4 linked regions of the Coturnix japonica genome follow. The protein of the gene in region 4 interacts with the protein of the main gene of each other region in a biochemical or structural test. Links are inferred from orthologs where the notes say so. Each region holds a gene or a part of one and is shown on either strand. Other genes may lie near its edges.

Evidence for each region.
Region 1: the proteins of MAP3K5 (region 4) and TXN form a complex in vitro, tested with the Homo sapiens proteins (3 studies listed by BioGRID). The link is inferred for Coturnix japonica from reciprocal best matches to the Homo sapiens genes MAP3K5 and TXN.
Region 2: of the proteins of MAP3K5 (region 4) and MAP2K4, one has a biochemical effect on the other in vitro, tested with the Homo sapiens proteins (3 studies listed by BioGRID). The link is inferred for Coturnix japonica from reciprocal best matches to the Homo sapiens genes MAP3K5 and MAP2K4.
Region 3: the proteins of MAP3K5 (region 4) and NEDD4 form a complex in vitro, tested with the Homo sapiens proteins (2 studies listed by BioGRID, with this or other methods). The link is inferred for Coturnix japonica from reciprocal best matches to the Homo sapiens genes MAP3K5 and NEDD4.

What each region holds. Positions count from the first base shown.
Region 1 is NC_029547.1:59,050,764-59,058,388, reverse strand, and holds the start of TXN (thioredoxin), read left to right. Parts: upstream 1-3,018; 5' UTR 3,019-3,219; coding exon 3,220-3,243; intron 3,244-5,440; coding exon 5,441-5,545; intron 5,546-6,102; coding exon 6,103-6,162; intron 6,163-6,868; coding exon 6,869-6,934; intron 6,935-7,625. UniProt on the Homo sapiens protein: Participates in various redox reactions through the reversible oxidation of its active center dithiol to a disulfide and catalyzes dithiol-disulfide exchange reactions.
Region 2 is NC_029533.1:617,835-625,307, forward strand, and holds the start of MAP2K4 (dual specificity mitogen-activated protein kinase kinase 4), read left to right. Parts: upstream 1-2,875; 5' UTR 2,876-3,121; coding exon 3,122-3,221; intron 3,222-7,473. UniProt on the Homo sapiens protein: Dual specificity protein kinase which acts as an essential component of the MAP kinase signal transduction pathway. Essential component of the stress-activated protein kinase/c-Jun N-terminal kinase (SAP/JNK) signaling pathway.
Region 3 is NC_029525.1:6,716,011-6,723,717, forward strand, and holds the start of NEDD4 (E3 ubiquitin-protein ligase NEDD4), read left to right. Parts: upstream 1-3,644; 5' UTR 3,645-7,605; coding exon 7,606-7,707. UniProt on the Homo sapiens protein: E3 ubiquitin-protein ligase which accepts ubiquitin from an E2 ubiquitin-conjugating enzyme in the form of a thioester and then directly transfers the ubiquitin to targeted substrates. Specifically ubiquitinates 'Lys-63' in target proteins.
Region 4 is NC_029518.1:49,741,890-49,748,930, reverse strand, and holds part of MAP3K5 (mitogen-activated protein kinase kinase kinase 5), read right to left. Parts: intron 6,788-7,041; coding exon 6,619-6,787; intron 5,784-6,618; coding exon 5,677-5,783; intron 4,049-5,676; coding exon 3,878-4,048; intron 535-3,877; coding exon 422-534; intron 1-421. UniProt on the Homo sapiens protein: Serine/threonine kinase which acts as an essential component of the MAP kinase signal transduction pathway. Plays an important role in the cascades of cellular responses evoked by changes in the environment.

The sequences.
Region 1 (7,625 bases), on a different chromosome or scaffold from region 4:
ACAGTGGTGCACCGGTGGCAATATTGCACCAACCAGGACTCCCTAATTCCCATTCATCAGCTGATTTACCAACTGGAGAACCAAGGAGTAATCAGCAAGACTTGCTCACCCTTTAATAGTCCCATATGGCCACTGTGAAAGGGGGAAGCTCCTGAACACCTGCAATACATTGATGACATCATCATGTGGGGCAACACAGCAGGAGAAGTTTTTGAGAAAGGGAAGAAAATAATTCAGATCTTTCAAAAAGTCTGTTTCACCAAGAATTACCTGGGATAAAGAAGAATGAACTCTGATGGAACCAGAACTAGCTTCTGCATGCAGTAACCCAATACTGTGAATCATCCCTCCTGCACTGAAGGACTGTTATGACAGATGGAGCTCAAAGTTATGAACTAAATGAATACCATGGACAATTTAAATGGGTGGCTCATAGACTACTGAAAATAAATGTGTGTGTATATATATTAAAAAAAAAAAAAAAAAAAAAAACAATAAAAAAGATAGGGAATGGTAATTAGGATGTGTAGAAATTGTGGGATCTGAGCATGATGTAAATGGTATGGAATAAAGGGTGGATATTGTCTTAGTTTCAGCTGGGACAGAGTGTCTGGAATGCTGCTGTGTTTTGGTTCTAGCAAAAAAACAATGCTAATAACACACGGATGTTTCTAGTTGCTGCTAAGCAGTGCTGTACAGAGCCAAGGCTGTTCTCAGCCAAGGGCTCCCGGTGCTCAGCCACATGATGGTTAAACCACAACATGGGGGCGCCATATGGAGGTCCTGCAAGAGATACCACACTTGCCTCTCCCATCTATGAAGATAACCCAAAGCTGAGGCTGCTGTTCCCTGTGGAGAGCACTGTGCCACCCCTCTGAGCTTAGGGACCCTGAGGTTGAATTAATCTCTGTGGCGCAGCACTGGAAGGAAAGGGGCTATGGGAACATCACATGCTGCTGATACAGCCCTGAACAGGTCTCTGGCTTCTGCATGCAAACCACATTGAACTGTACTAAAGCACCTGCGCCAGGTCATAGTCCTTGGCTTGCCCTGCACATCATGCAGAAGAAATGCCAGGAGGACTGACATCTCTTACCCTGCAGGAGATGGATGCACACAGACACAAAGGCAAAAGCCACAGGAGAGGTCAAGAATGAAGAGAAAAGCAAGGCAGATGGAAGGCTGACAAGAAAAACAAAGCAAAACAGCTATGTGAAAAGAGATGGATGTCAGGCACTCAGAAGCAAAGCTTGTACTTGTGCACCAGTTTGTAATTTGGACTGGAAGCAGAAGTGAAGAACTAGACCCACATTACCACCCATTGCTCCACAATAGAGGCTCCCTTCAAAAGGCACTGGAGAAAACATCATCCTCTGTGCAGATCAGACTTGATGTTAAGACAATGAATGGTGGGAGCCAGAGAAGCAGATAATGGAACTGCATGAGCTGGTTACTGCCACGTGTGGATTTTTGACTTCTATTACCAAGCTTTCAAAAAGCAGTTAAGCATTACTGCACCTTGAAACCTGCCTGCATCACTGTGCAATGCATCTGTGCTGAGCATGGATCCTGCACGCTGCTTTTAGCACAGAACACCAAGGGGAGTGGGCAGCTGCAGAACCCTGTGAACATCACTCATGGGATGTGCATTGGGATGGCACACAGAGGTTGTGGTGGCCCAGGGATGGTCCTGCTTCCTGCCAGCTTCCTGGAAGCACAGGGCTGATTCCTGGAAAGTACAGTATGTGGCAGTGCTCTCCCCCTCCTTTCTGTCATTGTTCAATGGCTTCTCCTCCGTCTTTCAACCAGATGTGCTCTGCCAAGTGTTCAAGAGAGGCTGGGTGATTGGGTACGTCACCAGTGAGAGCAGAGCTCTGTGTGCACTGCGCATATGGCTGGCAGACACCCAGCACACCCATCTAATTATTAAATATTTATTGCACCTTTAATGGGTCAGTTACAACAGAAGAGTGCTCCCAAGGAGCAGGCTGCAAGGAACGGGAAAGCACCATTAAAGACTGTCAGGGCCAGATGAAATGCAGCGTGGTAATGCACTGCAGATAACCCGTCTCTCCTGCGATAAAACGTGGTGCAGCTGTTGCTGCAGGCAGTTCTTCCAGCAGCTTCCTCCCTTTGGCAGCTGTCTGCACCATTGCTTAATGCCGGACGTGCCCAGCCCTCTGTGACATGGCCAGGCTTGGATCTGCTGTGAAACTGGCCCTTCTGCTGCACTGTGTGATTCTCACTGTATCCTCTGGTCACAAAGTCCAGCGCCACTTAGACACTGTATAATGCCTTGGGAGAACTGCTGGCTGACGGGCCAGGACTGGAGGGTTGTATTAATGGGGTTACATGGCAGATTGTCACCAGTGGGGTCCTGCATTGGCTCCATTTAAGGTCCAGTCTCTTCAGTGGGTTATCGGGGAGCTGAGTGCACACTGATTGTCCTCTGATGGTGCTGAACTAGGGGAAGCCGTTGGTTCCCATGCAGGAACTGGATGATCTTTGGGGTCTCTTACAAGCCAAGGGGGCTGGGAATAAAAGGAAAAGGAAGATATGGAGCATGGGCAGACAGGGGACAGACACACGGACATGGGGACAGGCAGACACGTGGCACGGCCAGCACACAGCCCGTGTCGCAGCACATGGGTGCTGGAGGCAGAAAAAAAACCCAGTTTTAAAACGATTTTAAAACAGAATCGAGAAATAAAACAGGAGGAGTCCCCCCATACGGGTTCCCACCCCCTCCCCTCCTCCAGGGCAGGATCCTGCCCGCCACTTCCTGCTCGGCGTTACGCAGCACTTTTTCTTACAGTCACACGGTTGGTTTTTTTTTTCTTTCTTTTTTTTTTTTTTTTTTTTTTTTATTTCTTTTTTTCCCCCTATTTTCCCTCCTCTCCCCCCTCTCGCTGCTCCCCCCAACCCCCGCCCTGTGAAAGAACTATAACGGCCGCTCCCCTTCCCGCCTCGTGACGTCACCCGCGCCATGGGCGGGAAGGGGCGTGGCCCGGCGATGGGCTGAGCGCTCAGTGCGCATGCGCGATGCAGCGGTGGCTATATAAGGGCAGGCCCGGGGCGGCGGCGGCAGAGCGTTGGTTTGGCGTTGCGGAGTGAGGACCGGTATAGACACAGCCGAGAGCGCAGCGGCGTGCGGGACGCGCGTGCGCGGGGACGAGCCCGTTGTCCGCCTTGTGACCGTACAGCACAGTGAGAGCCGCCATGGTGAAGAGCGTGGGCAGCCTGGTGAGTGCATGGGGCGGCACGGTGGGGTGTGGGTGAGGGGGGCTTGGTGTCGGCGCCGGGCCTTGGGCCGCGCTCCTTTGTGTGCGCTGAGCCTGAGGCCGCTCCCCAATGGCGGCTGCGCTCCGGCCGCAGGGGGCACTGCGGGAGCGGGTTAAACTGCAACACGTCGCCCTGACCCTTGGCTGTCAGCTGATGGCCGCGATCACAGAATGACCCGGGTTGGGAGGGACCTCAAGGATCATGTAGTTCCAACCCCCCTGCCTGGCAGGGCCACCAAACATACGCCTTTACTAGATCAGGTTGCCGGATCAGCACGGCCCAAGGGCGGCTCGGTGGGTGTCAGACATCGTGCTTATAGCTGGGGTCTTGTATTAAGGCTGTCCCAGCTATGCTGAGGGCGGTGGATTTCTTACGGCGTTGGTTGGTGGCCTCCATTTTGGGTTGCTGGGAATCCCTGCTGCATTGAACCTCTCCTTGCCACCTGTTTTCTCGCAGCCGGCCCTTGGAAACTGAAATCTGCTAACATAATGCTGCCTGCTGCGCCCAGCAAAGTGAGGCCGAGGCCTCAGGGAGGCACCAGATGGGTATTTGAAAAGTGTTTATGGGCTTTTCCCCTCCAGAGGACTAAGGAAAATATTGCTGAAAAAGCTGTGAGATCCTCTAACAGCTGTAGCCACGTGGACTAACAGGGGGAGGTGTCCATTCTGATAATGGAGATATTTCTGTATGAATCTTATTAATCCATACTTACTGCAGAAAGACTAGAAGTCAGAAAGGTCAGCCAGTTTTCCTGCTGTATTCCTTACTTCAGGGATATTAATGTTTTCTGAGGAAAAAATACCAACACTTACCCCTTGCTGGGTATCTCAGGGGTAACACCGTTGGACCTCGTGTCTCTTCTCAGGCTGCCTGTAGCAATTTTAGCTAATTCTAGGGATGACTCACAGGGTAACGCCTGGCTGCAGCTGGAGAGCAGTGCTCAGATCTCCAGTGGTGTATGGGTTGTGATCTGCAGGAAGTGCCATGTCCTCCCACTTTGCCCTTGTTCTGTGCAATATTGCCCTGAGATGTGTGGTCATATGATCAGCGCGTCCCAGGGATGGCCTTCCTCATGCAGGGTACAGCAATCAGTCATTTGGACTGAGGAAAATAGTCCAATTGGTGGGTGCAGGAGGTAGAATTAATATTAATAAGGCTGTTACAGCACTAAGTTGTGAGAATATATGCCAGAAATCAGGGATTTGGAGGTGGGAGTGAGTGAGGCTCTATTTAACAGCCTTATGGTTTTAAGTAACCACTGGGAGCAGATAGCATGGACTACTGTGTATGTGAACGCTGAACTTTGCTGGAGGCAGTGTTGTGCTTTAGAGACTGGGATGCAGGAATACACCCCACATTAGCACAGTGGTGGAGAAGAAGAGAGAGAGGAAGAACTTCTTGCTGCCACCCTTGCCTGTGTGTTGGATCAGCATCCTCTGCTTGCTCTGCCTGAGATACTTGTTTGTTTTTTAGCATGCAAATATTTCTTTCCTTCAGTGCCTTACACTTCTGTTGAAACATTTGCTCTTTGAAAACAGCGGCACATAAGGAGCTCTGAAATGCAAAGCGTGATGTCCAGAAATGTCTCTTGTAACAAAGTGCAACAGAGATATCTCTGTTAACCTTAAATGTTAGTTGTTACTGGCATAGACTGTGTAGCTTTGCATTGAGTACTGGAGTTACACCCCAATTTACTTGGCATAATAAAATATTTATATGATGAAGCTGTTGCTCTAGGAAACATGCTGTAGGGTAAACCACGCAACATCTTGATTCTAACCATTGCTTGGGAAAGGTATCAGACCATGAAACTGTGGAAGTTTGTCCTCAGATTCTGAGGAATCCTAGAAGAAAATGGACGACATCCTATTAAATTGGAGATTAGAACTGAATGCTAAGGACCGTCAGGATCACGTTAGAAGTGTAACATTACTCAGTTTAGCTTACGGTCTCAGTTCATGCTGAGTTCTACATAAACTTCCACAGTTCAGTGACTGAGCATTGTGATGTTTCATAATTGATACTCATAATTCATCAGAAGACAGTGGGGGATGCAGTGCTGATGGAGCTAAGGGAAAGCTGACTTGGGGGTTAGTCTTGAACCTTTTGCAAATGAGGGGGGAAATCCTTAATGTTTTGATTTCTTTTTTCTTTACAGTCCGAATTTGAGGCAGAACTGAAAGCTGCTGGTGAGAAGCTTATAGTAGTTGATTTCTCTGCCACATGGTGTGGACCATGCAAAATGATCAAGCCATTTTTCCATGTAAGTAGCTTTTGTCTTTCACAGTAACTTTAAGTATATAGAAATACTTCTGTGCAACTTCTAATATGGTGGAAACCTTCTTTGTCTATGGTGTGTTTTCCTGAAGGAGGAATCTTAGAAGGATATGATAGGTAACTATTGAATAAAGCACTTGGATACACAGCGGGGAACTAACACACTGTAGCGTTTTGTCTGTCCTGGTGTGCTGATGCATCAGTCTGTAGGGACCTAGCTGGTGCATTTCCACAAGAACTGGCAACAGTGGAGTTGAAATAATGTATATATGCTGGCTCTGATTATTTAAACTGCGTTCAGTTAAGCTGTAGCATCTTTATGTGTTGAGGGGGAAGCCATAAGGGAAGGAAAGGCCTTTCCCTTATGCTTAGGTGCTTCAGCAGACTCTTCCAGGGGATGGAGCTGGAAATTAATTTCTGGTCAGTAAAGCAGCTGCTGTAAGGTAACATGTTAAGTCTGACAGCACCAGTTTCTATGAATGCATCTTTTTGAGAACTGGCTTTCCTGGACCTGTAACTACATAATTTCATTTTTCATTCTAGAGTCTGTCTGACAAGTTTGGTGATGTGGTGTTCATTGAAATCGATGTGGATGATGCCCAGGTAAGGTCCAAAGGGATAGTAGGTTTGGAGAACCACAGAAGTGGCAATGAGTGTCCTTGGATTTATTGAAACAAAATGAGATGGGCACCACCAACTAGGCAGAAAAGAATGAATGTTTAGAGTACATGAGAAGAATGAACTGCTTTAGTTATCTGCACTGTCTTAACCCCTATGGCACACATGAGATAACTTGGGAACACTGGTGTTCTGCCCTTGAGACTTCCTCCCAAAGCCTTAATCTGTTTTGATGCAATCTCCCCTAAAACTAATAGCTTACACAAGTACAAGACTGTCTGGTCTCACCACTGCCCTTGGCACTGTTTCCTCTTTCATGTGTTGAACCATGTGTAATAAGATGTCTGCTCTATGGCAGTTTCAGTAGTGTAGAATGAGTACTTAAACAATTTCAGGCTGAAACAGCAACATTGCTGTAGTGTTCTTGAGTACTCTCCAAACACAGTGTGGATGCAGTAAACACGTGCTCTTATTGTATGAATTAGATTCTGAAGGGAGGATCTTTTAGGTTTGTTTCAGAAAGATGCTAATATTGCACTGCCTTTGCAGTGCTGGACTAGAAAAGATGTTTTTCTTCTTTTTGAACAGTGATGACTTTGTCCAACTTCCTTATCAAAAGGAAACCAGTGGGTTCTAAATTCTGGTGTCCTTCAGACATGCACAGCTGAAGACTGTTTTCTTTCTCTTCCAGGATGTTGCTACACACTGTGACGTGAAGTGCATGCCAACATTCCAGTTCTACAAGAACGGAAAGAAGGTAGGCTTCTTTTTTTATGGAACTTATTTTCCTGGAAGAGGCAGGCTAGGCCACATAGTCTGCTTTCTCTTAATAATGTATCTGGGTCACAACTGGCACTGGGACACTTCTAAGAGCAATTAAATTAATCTTAGTGCTACAGCAAATACAGCATAGACCAGATGCAACTGATGAAGCAAACTCTATTAATTAGACCTAGTGAACTAAGTCTTGCAGGTCAGTCTTATGGGCAGATCTTCATGATGAATTAGTGAGGCTAAATGTGCAAGACTGCCCTAATGCTCTGCTTTTGCTGATCTGTTAGCATTCATTCTCTGTACACAGTTCACATTCAAGCAGGGACGTGTCTATATGTGTAGAATCCCTCCTGACATCAGTTAATAATCTGAATATACTCCCATCTGAAACCACTACTTGAGTGTTTTCACACAGACTGTGAAACCTGTGGAGGGACCCCATGTAGGTTGCAGGACTGAACAGAGCCCCTTTGCATTATATGCTGTGAGCTGGATAGATGGGATACAGAGCAGGTGCAGGGACAGGCTGCTCCAAGCAGTTCTATCAGAGCTTGATAGGACAAGGTGCACAGCAACACAAAGTGGCTTTCAGCTGCTACTGCCAGGAGGTGGCCTCCAAAATCCTTCTGAGCTGCAATTATGACTTTTACACACCACTGATACAGGATTAATTG
Region 2 (7,473 bases), on a different chromosome or scaffold from region 4:
CTAGTGAAGGAACAACTACATAGGGGATTTCAAAAGAGTGCAGAGGCATCGTGGTGAGCAAGCTGAACACTGGCAATAATAAAGGCAAATGCCATCCTGGAAAGCAGGATAAGCTGCAGTAGTGTGCCTAGACAGGGACAGTATTAAAAACAAACAAACAAGCAAATAAATAATGCAGATCATCAGAAGAAAGTCAAAGGAGGACAGTGGGGATTCTGGGATGCACAGGAAACATGAAAGAAGGCTGAAAGAATTGTGTTGATGCAGCCTGTAGAAGAGAAGGCAAGAGTGAGAAGGGGAAAGAAAACAGTCACCAACTGCCTTAGAGGTCATTTCAAAGACAGGAATTACTTGTATTTCATTGCTGTAGTGAACAGGAAGGGGTGTAAAGGATTTCAGCTCAGACAAAAAAGCTTAAGTTAGGCTTTCAGCTAATGTCAGGATAGTAGAGTGCCAGAGCAGATTGCTGGGGGATGGTACAATCTCCATCACTGGAGGTCTTTAAGAATAGGTTTCCCAAACATGTGTCAGGACAGGTATTGTTGATCCTCCCAGATTTGCAGGGTGAAACAAGAGAAGCAGAATAGTCCTTACCTGTGTAAACCACATGCAGGTGGCGTGAAGCAGGGATGGCAGCCAGCTGTTGGCTTTTCCAACAGGTACTGGGTCTATTTATTGTGACTTGTAAGATGTCAGCTTTGGGTTTGCACTCTTGGTTAGGGCAGAAGAGAAAGCTTAAGGAGAGGGAAGAGAAAGGAAGGTTGTGGATCTAGGGGAGATGTCTTCAGTGCCAGAACTGGACTGCATATGCCCCTCACTCAAGCCTTTGACTCTGTATGTAAGTTTGCATGGCTGAAAAAAGAAAGCTTTTCAAAAGCAGCATTTGTAACACTTGTAACACTGAAAGAAGGAAAAAAAAGAAAAAGAAAAAGAAAAAGAAAAAGGAAAAGAAAAAGAAAAAGAAAAAGAAAGAGAAAGAGAAAAAGAAAGAGAAAAAGAAAGAGAGAAAGAAAAAGAAAAAGAAAAAGAAAAAGAAAAAGAAAAAGAAAAAGAAAAAGAAAAAGAAAAAGAAAAAGAAAAAGAAAAAGGAAAAGAAAAAGAAAAAGCTGGAAGAAGCCTTGGGTGGGAGTCCTGAATTATTCTCTTTTGTGCTGCTTTTAAACCAGGGCTTATACTCAGATCCCATCTCTCCCAGTGTTGCAGCTGCATTGTTGCCATGTCCCCACTGAGCCACACCCTGACTTGACTTCCCATCTTTTCTTCAGCTTCCCTTATGGCATTTATCTTGCCTGGCAGCCTGGCATCTTGGCTCAATCTGGTTGCTGTCACAGCACCTGCCCTGCTTGCCTTGCTCAGCCCTGGGCTCTTGCTGTTGAGAATGCTGTCTGTCTGCTGTGTTAGGCTCCACTTGGGTGACTCCTCTTTTCAGAGGCTATGTGCAAAGACTCCTCTTTGCAGTCCTGTGTGCTCCCTGATGTTGGGGAAGCAGGGCCATAGTACTGGGGTCCCACTCTGGTGAGAGTGAGGAGCAGAGGATAAAGGTACATCTTCTGGAGATGAGTGCTTGTGCTGTTGCATGCAGCAGGGGCTGTGGTCTCTGTTGCAGAAGGGTCTGAGTACCAGCACTGATTTGCCACAAGAGATGGCACCATTGCCACCCGCGGTGCCTGTGCAGACCACATGCAGGAAGTCCTTGTGGGAAGCTCTGTGCGTGAGTGCTTCCTGCTTCTCACCCTCTATAGCAGCAAAGAGGATGGAATGTACGTGCAGCTTTAAGAGAGTTAGAAGTGATTCCAGTGGGAGCAGCAGCCAGGATAGGATGGGTTGGAGTCTCAGATCAAACCCAGCAAACTTGTCACTGACAGGTGTGTGCCTGCGTGCATGAAGAGACTCTCCAGCACTTGTCCAGGGAAGCTGTACCAGCGACAGGGAGAAAGCTGACTGTGGTCCTTTTGGTGTGGAAAGGATGGGGCTGAAAGGGCAGATGGTCAGGAACAGCTCTTTCATCAGTGGATCTCAAGTGATAAAGGAAGTCAATATTATTTCTGTGATGAAGAAACAGGGACTACTGCAGGTGAAAGAGGTGGGCTGGAAAGATAGCCCTTCTCTTTTGGGACAAATATTATTGCTCCTGTCCCTGGTGCATGGTGCTGTCCCTTAGAGTAAGAATGAAACTACAGATAGAATCAGAAACAAAGCAGATGCAATGTGCTGGAATGAACAGCAGCTAATGGAGGAAATAAAACGACAATGATGACAACAGTAGCAGCAGAAGGAGGTTGTTGCCCTGGCTGTAATGGAAAACACAGGACGAAGTTAAACTCTGCAGGGAAGAGGTTTCAGGTAAGTCATGAGAAGACAAGTTGGCAGGTAGATGCCAGTGCGAGGGAAAGGGCTGTGTGTTGAGAAATGTGGGGCTGCTTGGACAAACCGATAGCCCAATCTGAGGAGGGAGATGAGAGACCAGGGAAATGAGAAGGTTGTGCACCCCTGGTCAAGGAAGTTCTTCGGGTGGAACAGTGGGGCACACTGTGACATTGGGATCATGGCACACATGGGGCTCCTGGAGGGCACACAGTGGCCCAAAAGGGGATGACGGCCACTCCTGGTGGGAGTAAGCAATGTCTCCCTAGTGGGGAGCACTGCAGGAGAAATCAAGAGGGACGCAGCACAGGGATGCTCGGGGTGGGAACCGCGGACAGGAGACGGAGGCACCCGCTACGTACGGCTGCCACCCGCAGCCGGGCGCTGCCCCCCGGGGAAGGGAGTAGAGGTGGCTCCGAAGGAGGACGTGGGGGCGGGCAGGACACAAACGCCGAGCGGCCCGGCGGCGGGGAGGGGCCGCCCTGGAAGCGAGGAGCGGGGCGGGGGGCGGCAGACCTCGGGCCCAGCGGTCGACCTCACGGGGAAGGCAGCGGCCCGGGCTCGGCCCGCCGCGGCGGCGGAAAGTACTGGGCGGCCGCGGGCGCCCCGCCTGGGAGGGGTTAAGCGGGAGCCCCAGCCCGGGGGCGGACGGCGAGGCTCCGGCGCCTGCTATACGGCGGCGGGGCTCTAGGTGTCCTGCCTGGGAGGGTCCCTGCTGCATTGCAGCCTCCGCGCCGCTCCGTCTCTGGCGCACACAATGGCGACTCCCAGCCCCAGCAGCGGCTCCGGCTCGGGCGGCGGGAGCGGGCCGGGCCCGGGCGGGCCGCCGGCGCACGCGGCCGTCAGCAGCATGCAGGGTAAGCAGCCCCGCGCTAGGCCGCAGCCGCTTCCGGGCAGGGCAGCGCTCCCCGCTCTAGGCCTCGGCGCGGCCCCACACCCCCGGCTCCCCGTCCCGCTCCGCCTGCGGCTCCGGCGGCCTCGCAGGGCCGGCCCGGGGGCGGTGGCCGTCTCGTGGCGGCCCCGCGGGTCTCTCTGTGCCCGGCGCGGCCGCTCCGGGGCGGGTGGGGGGCGCTCCCACGGGGCGCGGGCGGGCTCCGCGGGCTGCACGCTAGCGGGGCGGGCGCTTCCTAGGGCTGCTGCCGGGGGCTTCCCCCGCGGGGTCGGCGGTGCCGGCCGCCCCGTGCCCCCCGCGCCGGGCCCTCCTCGGGCGGGCTGGGGCCCGCGGCCCGGCATAGGGACCCACCCCCCGGGGCGCAGGCCGAGGCCTCCCGCTCGCCGCTCACACGGGGCTGCCGCTCGGCCCTCCCGCCGTGCTGCCGAACCGGGCCGCAGCCCGAGGTCTCTCCGGGAGGACGGGCGGCTCTGCCCGCCGGGCGCTACGGCCCACCGCCGTCTCGGTGCCCTCCTCTGCGGCTCTGCGGCCCCGAGCAGCTCCCTGGGGAGGGGCTGAGGAAAAGACAGGCCGAGAGGAGCGAAACAAAGGCCGGGAGAGTCTCGCTCTGGCTCCCCTGTGGCGCGCTGCGCGTTGTGCCCTCCCCGGACCTCCTCCGTCCCCGGGTGGCAAAGTGCCGCAGGAGACCCCGGGCTGCGGCCGTGCCTTGTGTGCGGCGCTGCCCACATAGAACTTGGCATGGGGGGATCGGGCTGGCAGGAGCAGTGCGCCGGGATGCACCGCGGGCCGCTCGGACCCGAGCCCTGGGGTGGGTGGGCCGCAGCCCCCGGAGCGCTGCGTTCTGCTGCGGCTCCAAACTGGGATCCTCGCTGCTGCTCAGTGCCTCCTGGGTCTGCGTGTCTGTCAATGTGTGTGTCTGCAGACAGATGTTTAAGTAAAGACAGTTTAATGGTGAACTTGTGGTTGATTTTGTTGCTGTTGTTTTGTTTTGATGGAAACGTACGGTTATTACTGCAAGGTAATGTTGCCAGCCTTCCCATCTGCTCTGGCTGGTGGCAGAGTATTCTTGCAAAAGCCGTGGGTATTCACTTCTCAGAAAGTCGCTGTGAATGCCTTTGGAGTTCTCTCCTTTAAGTTACACCGCTAGAAAATACTCCTTGCTTGAGCAGCGTTTTAACTGGTGTCAGTGAGGCCACACAGAGCAGGTTTATGACTTTTTAGTTTAATAAGAGGATGGTGGTACTAAGGAATCTGTTTGCGCTTTCCTTCTTAGAAGAGACCAGAAGGGAAGGTTGTGCTCTCTGTGGTGATGGCAGAAGAGCACAGTTTGCTATAAGTCTGTTCTGTGCTGCTGGGGTAGGTGGCACCGATGTATAGGCTGACGGGGACCTGTTTGGGTGGAGAGCTGATTACATAAAACTACACAGTTTGGTGTCCTTGGAACCAGATGATGGATTTTTACTCTCTCTGGTTTCTGCTGTGTGAAGGTCCCATGTTTGTCAGACCACGGAGGTACCTGTTGGGTGCTGGGAAATTGATAGCATACATGTTTACAGCAGCCTTCAAAAACCACAGTCTCAAACCTCTTAATGTAATGTATATGATTTAAAAACTTGACTGAAGGTGCAGTTGTGCTAAGAGCAGAAATAGCCATCTTTCAGCGCTGTTATAACTTTTATATTGTGTCCTTTACTTCCACCTGACCCATATTTATGAATCATTGCTGTGAATCTCATGTATCTTCAGTGCTGAGGTTAGTTCTGTGCAGACACGAGGATCCGTGATGTAGTGTAAGTTTGCAATGACAGAAATATCCTGTGAGGGAGGGCAGTCGTTTCCTTTTTAGTTCCTTTAAAGTGCCTTTTTAGGTGTGAATTCATAGAGACAGACCATTTTGATGACATGCAAGTGTTTTCAGTGAAATCTAGTGTTAAACAGTTGTGTTTTTTTTTTTTTTTTTTCCTTAAGTGAACAGATATGTTGAGGTACCGTGGGAGGAGCTGAGGCCTAGGGACCTCCAGAAGTCCTGGTGGCAGTGAGCATGTGGCTGCCACAGCAGTAGAGAAGTCCTGAAGCTGGCAGGGAGCTCCTTATGAGGACTCTGGCTGCACAAGATGAGGAGAGCTGAGTCAGGAAGGGCTGTTTGGCTCTGCAGGTGGCTCTGTCTGGATCAGTGGCATCTGCACAGGTGCTGCTGCCCTGTGAAGTGCCACAGCCTCATCCTGTGTACTTCCCTGCTTTCCCTGGCACCGGCTCCCTATTGACACCAGTGTCTCTGCAAGCTGAGTGCTACAAACCAAATCAGCTGGAAGTGACACATCAAGTGTTCTGTCTTTGGGATGCCCAGCGTTTACTAGTGGTGGGGCTGGGTGTTGATGCAAGGAATGCTCAGGAATGTGTTGCTGGGTGGGGACAAAAGTAAGTAGGACTGCCTCAGTATTGGTTTAATTGGCTTAAGTGGTATGACAAGGTAGAGCAGGGAAGTCATTAAACTACAGAGTAATTATAGTAAGGGAAAAAAAAAAAAGTTTTGCTGAGTTAGTTTCCAGCATTCTCAGAGCCACCTTGTGTAACTGCTGCTGTGAGGGAGGCAATAGGAGCGAGTGGTTGGAAGAGTGGAGCCATTGCCACAGCTGGCATGGCCGCAGAGCACTTGCTCCCCTGACAGCACTGGTTTCTGGAGTCCTTCAAGCCTTGCAGTCAAAGTGTTGCTTCAGGTCTTTGTACTCTTCTTGTTCAGCATGTCTAGCTTCATTCCCATGTCTCCATGGCTGATGGTGTTTGCCATTGGTGCCCATGCACCTGAGAACTTCAATCCTTCCCAGAGCGTCCCCTGGCAAGTGCAGTTCGTAGCACTGTGTTCAGTGCATGGTTGACAGATCAGAGACAAAGGAGAGCTGGAATCTTAAATATTGAAAATAGGTTTTACTTCTCTTTTTTTTTGTTGGGGGGAGGGGGAGGGATAAATAGTGGCCTGTTTTGGTGCACTGGTGACAGATGGCGTGAGAAATTGCTTTCCCTCTTAGTTATGTGCAGTGGTAGAAGCCCAGGAACAGTCTTATATATTTTGTATCCTCATTGTACTGTGGATGAAGCAGAGGTTCTGTGGAAGTATGATATCCCACTTGGAGAGTGGTCTTAAAAAGTGTAAAAATGAAAACACAAGAACAAAACAGTAGTCTGAGCATTTTTGCATTTCTCTCCTGTGAAGAAAGGCTGAGGGAACTGGGCTTGTTTAGCTTGGAAAAGAGAAAGCTCCAGGGAGGCCTCAGTGTGGCCTTCCAGTATTTGAAGGAAGCTTATAAAAGGAGGGAGAATGACTGTTTATGAAGGTGGATAGTGATAGGACAAGGGGGAATGGTTTTAAACTGAGGCAGGGGGGAGTTTAGGTTAGATATTAGGAGGAAGTTTTTCACACACAAGGTGGTGACGCACTGGAGCAAGTTGCCCTTTGAAAAATTATGGTATAAAATTTAGAAATTTAATTAATTCAAAGGTGTATGTAAAATTTATTTCTAACAGAGCTGAGGAGTCAGTCACTGTATCTCCAGAGCCAAGTAGGAGCTGAAGGGCATGTGACTGTGTCATGCATCCATCTCCTGCATTCAGCATCCCAAGAGTGCTGGAGGCAAATCAGGACCTCCCAAAGCACTCGCTGCTTCTGGTGCTGCTGCCTCCATGAATGGAGGGAATGAGCTGGGCAGCTCCTGGCAGCAGGAGGGAGACAAGACCCTGGTGCTTCTGGGCTGATTCTGAACAGGGCACAATGTGGGTACTGCTTCTGTTCTGTGGTCAGAGCCAGCAATGAGTGGGCTTATGGGTGTGTACAGACAGTGGCTGGTGGTGGCCCTGGGGGCAGAGGGCAAGGAAAAGGCTGGCAGATAGACTTACTTCTTCAGGGAGGTGAGATGTTGCGGAGAAAGTGAGGGAAATGAGTATCTCTATACATGGCAGTTTGCTTAAGGAACCATAAAGAATGGAATTTGGAGAATAAGAAAGTGGTCAGGAAGCAAAGAACAGTGTGAGTAGCAGGTTAGGTATAAAGCAATGTTTGAATAGCCAGTGAAAATCAGTTTGTGTCCACCAGGTCATCCCTGTGCTGTGGCTCTGCCAGGCCGTGGTTGTTCTCTGTCTGTGTGCTTGTCTGAGTGCACTCCTGTGTGTTTCTGTGCCTTTCCCGCTAAGGATTAGTTTTGCATTTCAGCTTTCCATTTTGG
Region 3 (7,707 bases), on a different chromosome or scaffold from region 4:
GAATAATGCGCTATCAATATTGTTATTATTTACTTGTGCCATCAGTTTAGCATTAGAAGAATTTCTCTTGTGATATTCATGTTGTTTTTCTTAAGCCGTAGAATGTCTTGTATTTTTTTAATGGCGTACAAGTTTTTAACTCTCCAAGAAAAATAGTGGCAGATTTTCGCATCAGAATGGAATGCTTTGCCCCTGTTCTTGATAAAAGTAGGAACACATATGATTGTTGATCGTAGGAAGGAAAAACCCAATCTGAGGCAGTAGACCATTTTAAGCAATCCTCTCAGACACCTTCATTAACTGAAACATTCAGGTTAAACTCAAACACTCTGGAACAGAACATGTTAAAAAGATATTGCATATTTAAGGAAGCACCTCAGATGCTGGATGTTCCAAGTTGTTTTGGTCAAAACCAGGATGTATAACACTTAAAGCATTTTCAGTCACAGCTGGTTGTGTGTGTGTGTTTTGTGGAAGCACATCAGGAGAATTTAAACCTTTCCTCGTGAAAGGAGAATTGTGAAAGAAGAAAGAATCCAATTGTAGTGATATGCAGAATGTAAAATAGCAGAGCTGCTATGGAGTTAAAAGCTAATTTAAATGTTATTACTGATACTGTTTAGAAAATGTTTCTAAGTGTTAATATATATATATAGGCCTTATAAAGTAATTATAACTCCTAGTTTTCATAGCTTCTGTTAATTTAAACCTCTTAAAGCTCAATTGCTAATAATGCTGACAAAAAGAAAAAGGATATCTAGCAACTTGCTTATCTTTTTTTTTTTGTTTTTCCCCTCAGTGACCCATATGTGAAAGTGACAGTGTATGATCCAGTGAATGGAGTCCTTAGCAGTGTTCAGACAAAAACTATTAGAAAGGTTAGCTTACTTGTCTTTGTGGATGTGGGTTTTATTTCTTTCATTAAACTCTGAGGAAGAAGTTAAAATGACAAGAAATATGAGGACTAACATCCCTCCTGAGTGAAAGACACGTTCTGTAGTCTACTCTGTTTTTCTGTTTATGGCATTATTTAAGTATTTTCCTTTCAATAAATTTGTTGTTGTAAGCAGTAAAGATGATAAGGTAAGCAGTGACTCAAAACTAAGTGGTTAATGGAAATACTGGATTGCTTTGGTTGTTTTAGGTCCTTAACGGTGTAATAATCTGTCTCTTTCTATACATCTTTTCTGTCTTGTACCAAATTGTGTAGTTCACCTGAGCTGTGATACTTCTGGTTTCTCTAGGATATCTGCTGACAAAAGTCAATGTTAGAAGTAATAATTTATGGTAGAACTATAGAAAATGAGAGACTATACATGAGAGAGAAAATAATCTTCCAAATGACTGTTGGTAATGACTGTGATTTGTGTTATGAGCTGACCCAAGGGTTCTTCTATGTTTCTGTTTCACCTTCATGCTGACAATTGTTATTAAGCATGTATAGTATATTTAGAATAGGCACCCTCAAAATTGATGTGTGGTTGATCAGAGAATGTTAGTTTTGGTCCACCTGTGCCTGGTGTGCCTAGATGGCATTGTTAAGAGATCTGGCATTTGCTAACAGTTCATAATTTAGAATTAATTTGTGCTTACGTGTAAGCAATGCAGATGGTGGATATGGACTTGAGAGGAAGCAGTGAGTGTTACTGAAAATATACAGTAAATTAACTGATTTGCATGGTAGGATGGGCTGCCTTCTGCATCCCTGATGTTACCCAAAATCTGGAAATACATGTGTAAATTGTATCATCAATTTTGCCCAGCATTAAATGGCATAAGACTTCTATGACTTTTATCTGTAATAGCAAGATTAAAGTTTCTGTACTTGAAGTAGGTTGTTACAGGAGATGAAATAGATGTGACACGTGAAAGAAAAGCAGAAAAAGACACTGGAAAGTTGTTGGTACTGTAACCAATGTTGTCCTTTTCCTCCCTACATACAGTCCTTGAATCCAAAGTGGAATGAAGAACTTTTATTTCGAGTAAGTATTTGAGGTATTTTGCGTTTGTTTTTTTTTTTTATTATGTTATTACCTGAGTTGGTTGTTATGTTAATAATCATCTTTTTTTTTCTTGCAGCACCATTTTAAACCAGAAATGCAGAAATAATTAATGTTCAAAGGCTCATGGACTACTTTGCTTAGCAGTACATCTGTTATTTTCAAGACTGAAAATTTTACTGTAGCACAAATACAAATCTTACCTTCTTTGTTCTATTAATGCACAAAAACTTGGGCATGAATTTATCAGCCAGTTTTGGGATGGCAAGATTTTGGCTAATTGGTGCCAATCGGTGGTGTTGCATAATGAACATAGTATTATTTAGATTTTAGGAACAAAATGTAGATTCGATGTTTAATTTTGGTCTTATTTGTCCAACAAGCGCACAGTCAGAATATGCACTGTATTGTTGAGCGTTTCAGGAACTGGGAGGTCCCAGTTTTGTAAGCGACTGCTGAAGAACTCTTGAGTTCTGAATTTGGAATGTGAGAAAACTGCTTTTGTGTAGCATGCCCAAGTGATGATGAATTTCCCTCCTCTTATAAACAACCCAGATCTTGAATAATGAGGAAATTGTGACCTTATATAAAGTAACATCAGTTTAAAGTATCATCAGTTTCCAGTCAGAGCTTTTCTGCAACATAAAAAAATGCTGTACTCTTGGATATCTTTATATGTATGGTTAGTTCTAGAAAGCAATTTTTTTTTTTATTCCCATCTGATAAACTTATTAGATGGACTGCTTGGTCTTGTGCCATTGGTGTTATTTTAATTCTTCTCACTTTCCTTGTTCTCTTTCAAGCATTACTATTGCTTTCTCTTTTTTCTTATTGCTTAGAAGCTATATCTTCTCATCCTTCTCTTTTATCAGTGCTATGTAAGGAGGAAGAAGAAGGTCATTTTCTTGCATTTGTTTGCTATACCTTTTTATAATAATTTTTTGACTGATAATTGTTTTAATTTTTTCTTGCTGTGGCTTTGTCCAAGACCTCTAGTTTGGCTGATAAAGATAGACCATTGGTTTAAAATCTTCCATAGAAGTACAGTGTGTGGTTCACTAGTTTGCCATCCCTAAACTTAATCCTAAATATTTTTAGGTTATGCATCTCAATGTTAGAAAATACGTTTTGGTCCTTTTAGACCTCTAGTTAAACCAATTTGCTCTGAGCCACTGTTATTGGAAGAAAACAATTTTAATCTGGATGTCAGCATCATTTAGTTTTTGCTTTGATATACGTAAAAGCAATGATACATTTTTGAACTCTCATACCAAGTTCTGTGAGAAACAGCCATTTTAATTTTGACTTTTTATTATTCTCCCTGTGCTTATACAGAAGGAAAGAAGTATCTCATTTGTCTTAATGACACAACCAGTGGAATTCAGCAGATATTTTAACTACTCTCATCTTTCTTTTTCCTAGGTTAATCCTCAGAAACACAGACTCCTTTTTGAAGTGTTTGATGAAAACCGTTTGGTAGGTCCTTTTCTATTAATATTGCAATTTAATAAAGGCTTCAGTGAAAATAACTTGATCTGGATTCAATGTTCAAAATTAAAATAATAATAATAATAATAATAATAATAATAATAATAATAATAATAATAATAATAATAATAATAATAATAATAATAATAAACTGGAAAAAACAAAAAGAACAACCCAAAGGAAGACCTGATTTGTTTACTTTTCTGCCACTACCACACTTAGATGTTCTGAAGTAATGAGGCCTTAACTCTGAACTTCTAACGTGCTTAACTCAGAAGCATTTTTTCTTACATTGCTTCTCCAGTGCTATGACCAAGTGACACTGAAAGCTCTCTACTGAATGCTTATTTTTCTTACAAAGCAGCATTGACAGTGTAGATGTTTGTATTCATGGGGGCATTTTTTTCAATAGCATGAAGGAGCAGTGGGACAGAAATGTGTTTCTTTGTCAACAGGCAGACACTGGAGTGTTACTTTGTTATTCACTGAATGAGTTATCGTAAATAAAGTGGGGATAGCTTGTGCATTTGTGTCCTTGGTGAAATTCTAACTCCTGACCATGTTCTTGTTTCCTACATGAGGAGTCTTCCTTTTTTATTCTGCCCATATGCTCAATTGTAAATTACAGAGGCTAACATTTGTGTTGTAAGCCAGTTTAACAGACATTCTATCTCAGTGGAATATATACCTTTCCAATTAAGTTCTACTGAAGTAGAGACTTGAGTGGTCTCTAGCTTGCACTTCAGACACTTTTTTGCTCTGTTAGCCATTTTGAAGAATATCAATGCCTGAGGAATGTGTTAGCAGCAAAAACCCTTTCATTTTTTCCTAATGCTGTCTGGATTGTCAATAATCTGTTGTACCTTTTATGCTAATGGTTGAAAGAATGGAAATGCCTGCAAATCGAATTCTGATTTCTTTTGAATAATTACGTCTAAGAATGGAGAGCTTTATTTCTTGGTTGTAGCCATCACACAATAACAAAGTCATTTTATTGCTGGCTGGTGGTGGTTCTTGTCCCAGATATTTCAAATATTTAAAGCAGAAACTTTAAATGGAATCACCAGAACTTGTGGTTGACGTGTCAGGATGCTCAGAAGTTAGTCTCAGAATGCTGTTAAGGGCTGCAGCGCAGGCTTGAAGTACAGTCCATAGTCTTTGGAACCGCACTGCCACCAGGTGGAAGTCAGGAGGCATGACTAGAAAATCTGAGGCCCAAATTAAGGGGAAAAAAGCAGAGTTTGGTTTCCACCAAGGGAATTCCTTGTTGTTCATTCTCTAAGAGAAAGTAGATGAGTTGTTTGACCTCTTTGCTTGTGGGAAAGGAATCAACAAGACATCTTACTGGCATCGGTGTGAAACTATGCTTTGTTTCCTTTATGTGACTGAGTTTGGAGACCAAAGCAGCATGACCTAATCACTCACTATGTAGTTCTGTGATAACATGTTTTTACATCTTTCCTATCTCCTCATTCAGTCAGTGGAAAACGCTGTCTTCCTATTTCTACATAGTTTGCTTTCTGTTAAATGAACACTAAATTTCCATCCCATGTGTCTTGAACTACTTCAGTTGGTCAAATCATTACTTTTGCTGTGGTTCTTGGGAGACTGACAGTCTTGTTCACTTCTGTTGTCTTCTCATGTCAAAAAATCATGGATGCCTCATGATTTTTCACAAGGATATGCACGCAGCTGTGCTCAAAAGGTGTTTCATCTTCGGTGATTATAGTGGGCTTGTATGGCAATCAGTCATTCTTTGTTCTGCCTGCTGGCCAACTGTTTAAAATGTAGATGTGAGTAAGTTGATAACACTGACATTCTCTTACAGTTGTGGGACTGTCTTCATCTTTGTAGAGTTCTGTCCCACGTGTTTTAATTCCCATTAAATTCTGAAGAGAAATTGAAAGCTTGAAATTTCTTCTTGTTTTTAAGTAATGTTGCTTTCCTGAAAACTTGGTTCAAAAATCCTCTTCAAAGTTTGGCATAAATTGGAAGTCCTGCAGGACTGGCTTTATCACCAATACGTCTTAATGACAAGAGTATATGCAGTAAAATTGTTGCAGGTTTTTGTTGCATATGAAACTGACATGTTAGGAACTGTGCTACTGATAGGTGTATTGTTGGGACAGATAGGTTCTTGAAGAACTGCATTGTTTCCTCTTCATTCGCATGGTTAAGGGTGTGTGCTTTTTAAAATATACTGCTTGTAGTTCAACTGTAACTCTTTTAAAACCATGACCAAAAAAGCTTTTATGGTATTTTACTTTTCTTCCTGCTCCAACACGTAACATTAGAAGAAATCCAGCTGGTGAAGCATAATGGAATAGACGAACTATTGTATTTGTTGGCTTTTATGAATAAGGTAGTATTCATTTACTGCTGCATTCTAATCATGGAATTCAGGTAATGGAGTTTAAGTAAGCCCTGGAGTATAATTAGAAAACAAATTTGTTGCTTGCAAATAGAGTTCTGTGAATTGGATTCTTGGCTCTTATTTGGGAAGGAGGTTTAAATGTTAATTTTATTACCTTCTAGCTTAAAATACAGCAAAGGTTAAATAAATATGGAGCAGAAAAAAATCTAGTAGTGTGACCTATAAAAGTATAAATGGCCTAGTGTTCTTCTCTGTTTGCGCTTTTTCAGCAGCACTAAGTAATTTCATGCTAGTCTGGTACCTTTTTGTACTGTATGTATGTATTTATACTGTACATATGGCTTCTGTATTCATAAGTACATTCGTATCAAATATGTTTCAAAAAAAAGAAAAGAAAAATAAAACCCACACAAAAAAGAAAAAGAAATATTGAAAGGCAAGATTGCCTTTTTTCAGAAGTCCCACTAGATGCCAGCAAAGGACCTTTCCAGATGATGAGACAGCGAAATGTTTGTAAGATCTCTCAATCCTGTTATTCTTTCAAGAGATGACAGTGTATTAGTTGCTTTCTATGCTCTTCATTTTGATCAGTTTACTGAAATAAAACCAAGTTAGTAGTTAACTATGAATGTAGAAGACAGCTTATATATATTTATTCAGGATAGCTTTCTTCTGTAATTGTGCTCACTGACCATATTTATCGTCGTGCATAATTCTCTCAGTGTTCTGTAGTTTATGTAGCTGGGCATACATTTGCATGCCATATCGAACTGTAATGAATGTCCGCTTATTCTGGGCTTCCAGCAAACAAGATGGTACTTTGCTTTGCACTGTAAGAATATTTTGTTTCTTTCTACCTTCAACAGCTGTAATTTGGAAAGGTTGAAATATATTATTTAACATGGCAGTCTGGATATAAGCACTGAATTATTAATCAGAGTATCTTGTTGCACTTCGAGTTTAGAGGCGTCTCACTAAAAAACATTAACTAATTGGTAGGAGACCTTTTCACTACGTGGAAATCTTTGCAAAGAGTGATTGGTTAAACAGAATGCAGATTGTTAGGTAATGCCAGGTTTCTTTCAAGTTTTGTTTAAATAGCCTAGAAAAACTTTTTTTAAGGAGGAGGGTTATTTTGCTGGTTTATGCATAAGTCAGACCTCAGCAGTTTGCTAGCATGGCTACTATTTGGAAATTCAATCCTAGACTTGATACTCAATTATATGGGATTTCATTCCTACCAACTTCCTGTAATTCTAAACCTATGGGTAAAAATATTAGTAGTCATACGCTGCTGGGGAAAGTACGGACACATTGACTCAGCTAGTGCAGCTGCAGCAGAAGCTGCTGTTTTAAACTTGGAAGTGCTGAGAGGTTATTATTATATTCATATATGCAAATTACAGAAGGTATAATCGAAACAAGGTTGATAGTGTTTGTCAGTACGTTGCAGCTGAGGTCGCTGGAATGTAAGTGCTTTATAAATGAATGCTTTCTGACTGCGAGCAATCAAAGACGGTCCAGAAACTGCACTTCAACAAATGGCTGACTGATTTCAAGAGGTACAATATCTTTTTTCTTAACACTACTATCCTGTAGAAATTAGGACAAAGCTTGCAACTTCTTTTATGGGCTTTTGCTGTTGTGATGCACTAGCTCCAGGTTCTGTGCAGCTGCCTGTAAACTTTCTGCTGAAGGATCTTTGTGGTTTTAATTTGCTAATATGCATGGAAATGAGAACAAATGGCACGACGGTTAAGACTGCATTTTGCAACCCAAAGAAGGAACACGGATCTGTTACCGGAAACCTCCGAAGATGTTTTGAATAGTAACAATCAAATGTAC
Region 4 (7,041 bases):
GCGCATTCTGACCACTCAATTTTTTTTTGCCCGTATTTCCTATTGATCCGTAGGTGTTTTCTGTTTGTTTTATTTTTTTTATTATTTTTTTCCCCAGATCTGGACTCCCCCTTAAGGCGTTCCTTCCTTCTGGCTCTCAAAGAAAAAAAAAAAAAGACATCACTGCAAAAAAGGGCTGCCAGTTTTCACTAGGTTCTGATAACCTGTTAAGACCTTCATCCTGGAATCAGGTCATCATGACAGTGCTCACTCTCAGCCAGGTGGGATCAGTGGTGGTTGAGGACACTGACTTAGATGTTCACATACTCATTGTCGAAGAACTCATATGCAACCATCAGATTTTTTTCCCCCTTGTGACAATGGATCGTGTCGTACTTTCACTAGAAAGCAAGTTCACTATGAATTTGCAAGCTGTAATTACCAACTTTCCGAAGCTCAAAAGAAGTATCAAAGCAATGTCCAGCTGCCAGAAGAAGCACTGCATAATTGATTCCCGACTGCAGTGTTGGCTCTGACTCAAACGCCTTCTTGAACCTGGAAAAAAACAAACATACAAGTTTGCTTTCCAAATAACACAATCTAGTAGGGACATAATTATACTTTTAGGTTCTGTAGGTGCTTATCTTCTGTTTACATAGCAAGAATCCATGGAAACAAAAATATTGTTTTCTGTACGTGCTTTTTGTCTATTTTTAGGAATGACTTACTTACTTAAGAGTTAGTTACTTATATATGCATCCTCTTTCATTTTCCTTTACACAAGAACAGACCCTGGTTATCCACCCCAGCACAGTTAGTATCTTACTGGATTCACAGTTTTTCCACAGAGATAAAAAAAAATAGTATTATCAACTTTTAAAAGACCTGTTTCAGTTATATTTATTAATGGACTCTTTAATTTTCTCTTAAATGGAATCCTCTTATGGATTTTCACTAACTTGAGACTTTAGATCATGGATCTGCCCCAGTGACATAAGCATATCAAAATACATAAACACAGAAGCGAGTGACACACAAATGCCTCATTTCTGGCATGAGTACCCAAATTTCTCTATTTCAGTGACAAATACAGAACTTCAGATTTTATAAATAAAATAAACTTCTCCAATGTGCATCATCCAAAGGTGGAAACACGCATGCTGTCAACAATGTTAAACATATAGGCAAAGGAGGCAGAGATGAACTTAGGCATACAAAAAAAGCTATTGCCTGCAGAAGCAATTGATGAACAGCCCTCAAAAAACAATGCACTGATTTGAAAACAAAGCGTCGCGTACAGGCAACAAAAAAAGGCCATATTCCCTAACCACGGGGGATGGAGAAATTATTTCCTAGGATCAGAGAGATTATTTCTTCTGCTACACTCAGTCCTTGGCTTCTTTAAGCTTCAATTGACAAGTAGCATCCTCCGTGACATAATTTTTGCAACATGCACAAGAAAAAACAATAAGAATCAACAAGAAATTCACAGACAAAAATAAAAATGAAAAACTTGTAATTATTTCAACAAATGAAAATAACCACTTTCAATTAACATCCACTAACTGAACTTGTTTAAATTCAACAGGTGCAATTGGTGCACACTGACAAGCCCTACATGACACAGAAGGAATCAGTCTTGCAGAAAAGCAGTCAGGTTTAGAAGTCTTCCTCTAAAGATAGAGGTTGGCTTAGATAATTCCATTATAAGGGGCTCCAAAAAATTGAAAGCTGATATTTAGGAAAATGTTGCAATACAGACACTGAATAAGATGAGTAGCAGTAAAAGGATTTGAAAGAAGCATTGATAGCATTGGTGAGTTTGATTTACATTGTCAGTATGCAACAAGAAAGTGTCAGTTAACAATCAGACTTTCATTTCTTGTCTCATATTTTTTATCACAGATGCCTTTTACTCCACATTTCAGTTGTCAGAAAAATCACACTTCCTGCATTTATTTTTCTCTAACAGCACAAAGTACCCTGACATCATTAGCTGTTGCAAAACTAACACTTTGGTTCTGCTGCCAAATTCCTATCTTATGCAATTCACTAAATTTCTCTAAGACAAAGATAATAAACTTTATCTCGACATAAACTAATACAATTGTGGAGGCATTCCCGCACACACCTTCTTCCGCCCCCGCTGAGGCCAGGGTGCAGCACTGGTAGTAGCTTTGCTCCCAGCCAAGGGCCACCAATTAGGTTATGGTTCAACCCTTCAGCCATATGAAGCCTGCCATATGACTGACACGAGTATTCAAATCAATATTCAACATAAAGTACATACAAAATGCAACTGGCGCACCCAGGACAGGTTCCAGTCAAATTCCAGATCATTTCAGTTTGGTCTTACTGACCAAAGACTTCAAGGATTATGGAAGAGCTGGCCTGTCAGTGTCCTACCCATGGCAAGAGCTGCATTTGTTCTCCTTCCCCCAAACTGTTATGACTGCAATCATTGCACCTCATGAAGGTAGATGAGCAACATGACTGACAGATGCATTTATTAAAAGCATGTTAAAACAGCTGTGTGAAACATCCTAGTAAGTAATTCTGCCTACTAAACACATAAACTCACCTGATTATGTTTGAAAATCTCAAAGTTTATCTGTTCTTAAAGCAGTACAAATGAGGAAAAAGCAAGATACACTATCACAGACGTAAGTTCATTTAATTTGTTTTGTCTATGGTGATGCCTAGTACCGGATAAGGACTACAGTTTACTTTTTGTATCAGCTAACATTAAACAAAACATTATTTTACAACTATTTTGAAAATTTCACAGGAGCTTTGGCTTAGATAAATTCTTTAATTCAAAATTATGAAATGGGAAGGGGGGGAAATAACATGCTGCATTCCTGCTATTGCAGTATATTTTAAGAGTCCAGTAAGCATTACAAAAGTGTAAAACATAACCAACAATTAGAAATTGTACGTGTATTCTATGACTGCAGATGGTGAATAATTATGTATTTCACCAAAGGCAACTCAAATCTGAAGGTTACTGAAAAAAAGTGAAACGAGAGAAGGAGAATCAAGCTTTCAGTTCTAAGCAATTACTTCAACAGTTAGCTGATGAACTCAAGAGCAGGACTAGGATTTGATATGGAGTATATGCACAAGTATTTACCTATATTCTCTTTCTGGACTGTAACGGAAAAAAACAGCTCACTCTGGCAAAAGTATCTAATGTTACAATTTCAAGTATGTTTCCTTTGGAAATTGAAGGCCTGACACTGACAAGAGACAGAAGAATTTTTTTTAATCTATTCCACATAAAAGTTGGCATTTTAGCACATTCCAAAGGAAAAAGAACGATCATTTTAGAGGCAAGTACCATAAGAATTTGTACTGTGGTCCACTGTAATACGCAGACATGGTATGGTGATGATGAGGTAATAAACCTTTTCTGAGCATGAGTTTATATTCTTCATCAGCAAGAAAGCCAAAAAAAAAAAAAAAAAAAAAGACAAAAATGGTACTTTCTACGCATCAGCACAGTTATACTTTAGAACCTTTAAGCATAGCTGGTAAATATCTACCAGGCTGCAGATACGCCTATTGATTCAAGCCTGAATAATATCTGGACCAGATTCCCAAATGTAATGCAGAAAACAAGAGAATTCACATTTGACAGAGAGGAGAAAGATAAGCTGTGATGAGGGCTACCTCAACTTCCAAGGCTCTGAAGAACTTATAGAGCTTCATGGAAGCTGACGTACAGACAACATAAGTCTCTCATTCTTTACAAGTAAGCGAGGCCCAGATTAGAAGACTTAGCATAACCATCAAGAACACAAAATATTTGGAATGAAAAAGAGTTGAAGTATGTTCTCATTAAAGGAATGTTTTCTAAAGCTAAGAAAAACACATAGACCAGGAAGACACTACTCACCAGAAGGTCCCTTTGTCTCTGCTTTCTGTATCTATGAACCCAGATTCCAAAAACATGTCCTTGTAAATGCGACCAACCAGGCAGTACATATCTGAGGCTACTTGATCTTCTTGTTCTACTAAAGGAATCATAATTTCTAGAGCTTTCTGTCTGTCCCCAGGCAGATTTCGTCTATTAAAAATAAATATTGCAATAAAAAATAATAGTGTTAACAAGGAATACCTTTTTGTGACCAATCTGAATATACAGTTATTCGTTTAAAGATTAAATACATGATTTTAAATAAAGATATGATTACAGACTAATATATAAATATATGTAAAATGCACTCCTAGGTGCAATGGATTATTTTATAAACATGTTTAAAACAAAGATTAAAAAACATCACTACCAAAAAAAACCTTCTTTATAAAAGCCCCCAAACATGTTTTCTCCCTCACGATCAGCTAGCGCAAAGCAGTAACAGCAGTAAGAATAGCTTTGAGAGCAATCCTTAGGGAGATCATGCAATACTTATTTATAAAAAGCAATGCAAAGGCTGCTCCAAAAGCACTGTCTCCTGTTTTCTCTTAAGATGGCTCATGATATCAGATGTTGCTGTTGGTGCTATGGCAGTAGAGGCTGAGCCTTCCCTCCAACATTCTGCTACATGTTGTTGCTGTGTGAAAGATGGCAGCAGAGGGGTAGTCTGACAGAATGGTATCTGACATGGAACTATAGCAAAGGGGTGCCAATGAACTCCCTCATGCAGAAACAATGGCACCCACCAACCTTTATTGACAGTTGTTGAACGTTGATGGAGACCAAACAGCAGATGTGAGCACAGTGAAACGGTGGGTGGTGTGTTTCAGCAGTGGTGACAGTGGGTCACCTCCACTGGTGCAGATTTTTTTACAAACATGGCATGGTGAAAATGCACAGCTAACAGTGATATTGAAAAATACTGTTTTGTAGCTGAGAATTTGCTCTATCAAACAGTGCTACTGAGCTATTTGTATCTGTTGTTCTTTCCATGGAAAACAATAGGAGGCATTACTTTTAGAGCAACCTACATATATCTGAGAATTGCACTGCCTGCTGACACTTGGTCTGCTCCTCTAAACATCAGAGGGCAATCTTTGCTGTGATAACACCAAGGGATCAGAAAATCTGCAATTTCCACTGGAAAATTCCCTCTTTAATGCCATCCTCAATTGCCAGTATTTCAGATTCCTGAGAAAAATCACAATATAAGCAAAAAAGCACAAGAGCCTAGCTCCCATTTAACTCAAAGAAGTGATGCATGTTGCTGTATGTGACACACTGCACATTATTTATTTATTTATTGGAGAATGTGAAAAAAAAAAAAAATGTGTACTGTAACACAGTAAATATGACTTCATGGAAGTTTTTCTCCTGTCTCCTGACAATAGGAGAACTCAGACTTGAATGAGAGGATGTCTAACTCAGCACAAATGCTACAATGCTGTCAGGCAATAGCGATGTTAAAAGTGTATTCTACTTTTACAGACTCAGACACTGAAGTGAAAAACTCAAATGCTGATGCAGATCTATGGAAAGACAAATAAATAAAAACAGACACTCACAGAGAAGGAAGAGGAAAGCAATTTGGCAGTATGAAAGGAAAAGGAAGCTCAAACTCATCATGAAGGTCAAGAGTCCCCAGAACTGCTACAGTGAGAACCCTAGACCTGTATACAAAGATTCCAGTAGGGACCTATAACCAGGATTATCAGCCACACATTGAGTTTGTGGTATTGATTTACTACTTGACAGTAGTAGGAAAGGTAGAGTCTTACCTGTTCAGTGCAAACGCATAATGTAACCTCACATGGTGGTGGGAAGCTAAGTCAAAAGTAGGCAGTTTTTCTAAAGTTTTCACCAGTTTCACAATGGAATCGTAATCCTTCCAAAAAGAAAGGAACAATGAAGTTTTAAGCAGCTGTACTGAAGTATGCCTATACAAACTCTTCTTTGAACTAAGGAGCTGGTATTTCATACCGGATCTTACATTCCTCACTCTGAAACTATAAATGGCTTGGCACTAAGAGTTGCAAATAAACAGAGCACTTAACACGATTTGGATTCCTGAACTGCTTAAATATACATACTGAAATTTCCCATTCCATGTTTCATAATACAAGTTAGCTTCAGGGCTGAACATATATCAGTGTTCATATCAGGTAGAAATTATAATACTAACTGCGTCTGTATTGAAGTACTCCAAAACTCTTCAAGGTAAGCACTAGACACAAGCAAAAATTAAAAACACTTAAGAAGCAACAATTGAAACTATGTATAATAAAGCGAGCAATTACTAGTACCATTCAGAGAAGCTGCAGTGCATACAAACATGTTATGTCGCCGAGAGAAATGTCATATGCATGGTGATATAGCTCGCAGTCAGAACACGAACACATCAATAGCAGAACGCTACCATGGCCTTTAAGTAGGGCACACTACAGGCTGTCTGTCATGTAGCAATGCTGACATGGAGACATGATGTACGTTACATATTTTTTTAGGTGCTGTTGTAACATCTTTTCAGCTATGTGAAAGTACACTATCAACAACATAACCAGAAGTAAAGAGCATCGGTGAAGATACTGTAACAATTTTTTTTACTGGTGTGCATTATTTATATAGTTTCTCAGAAAATGTGTGCAAAACACACTAGAATTCCACCAAAAATTAAATCTATCCCATTTTGGATGGATTGTCTTTGAGCAGAAGATACATACCTGGATGTCTCTGTAGGACAGCAGCAAGTTGATTACAATGTCAGCAGACAAGACCTCAATATTATCCACTCGCTGCCGAATCCTTGCCAGCTCTGCTGCAAGCTCTTTGCCAGTGAAGAGGGTACGGGCCTTCCTAATGTCATTAAGGATGGACTCCCGAAAATACTGGCTGGAAAGGAACAACGAAACATTAGAACTTTGTGAAAGCTCTTCTGCATCTGTTTTTACAGCACTGCAACTCTACCACAATACCTTCACGGAACATCTACTGATAGAGCAGCATTAGTGTGGAGAGTCGGTCAAGCTGAATTATTCATTAATTCATTATCAATTTGTCTCAACAGAAACATCACTCACTCTGAAGGCAAGAGACCTGATATTTGTACTGTCAGCAGAAAAATGCAATATACAAAGGAGTACAAA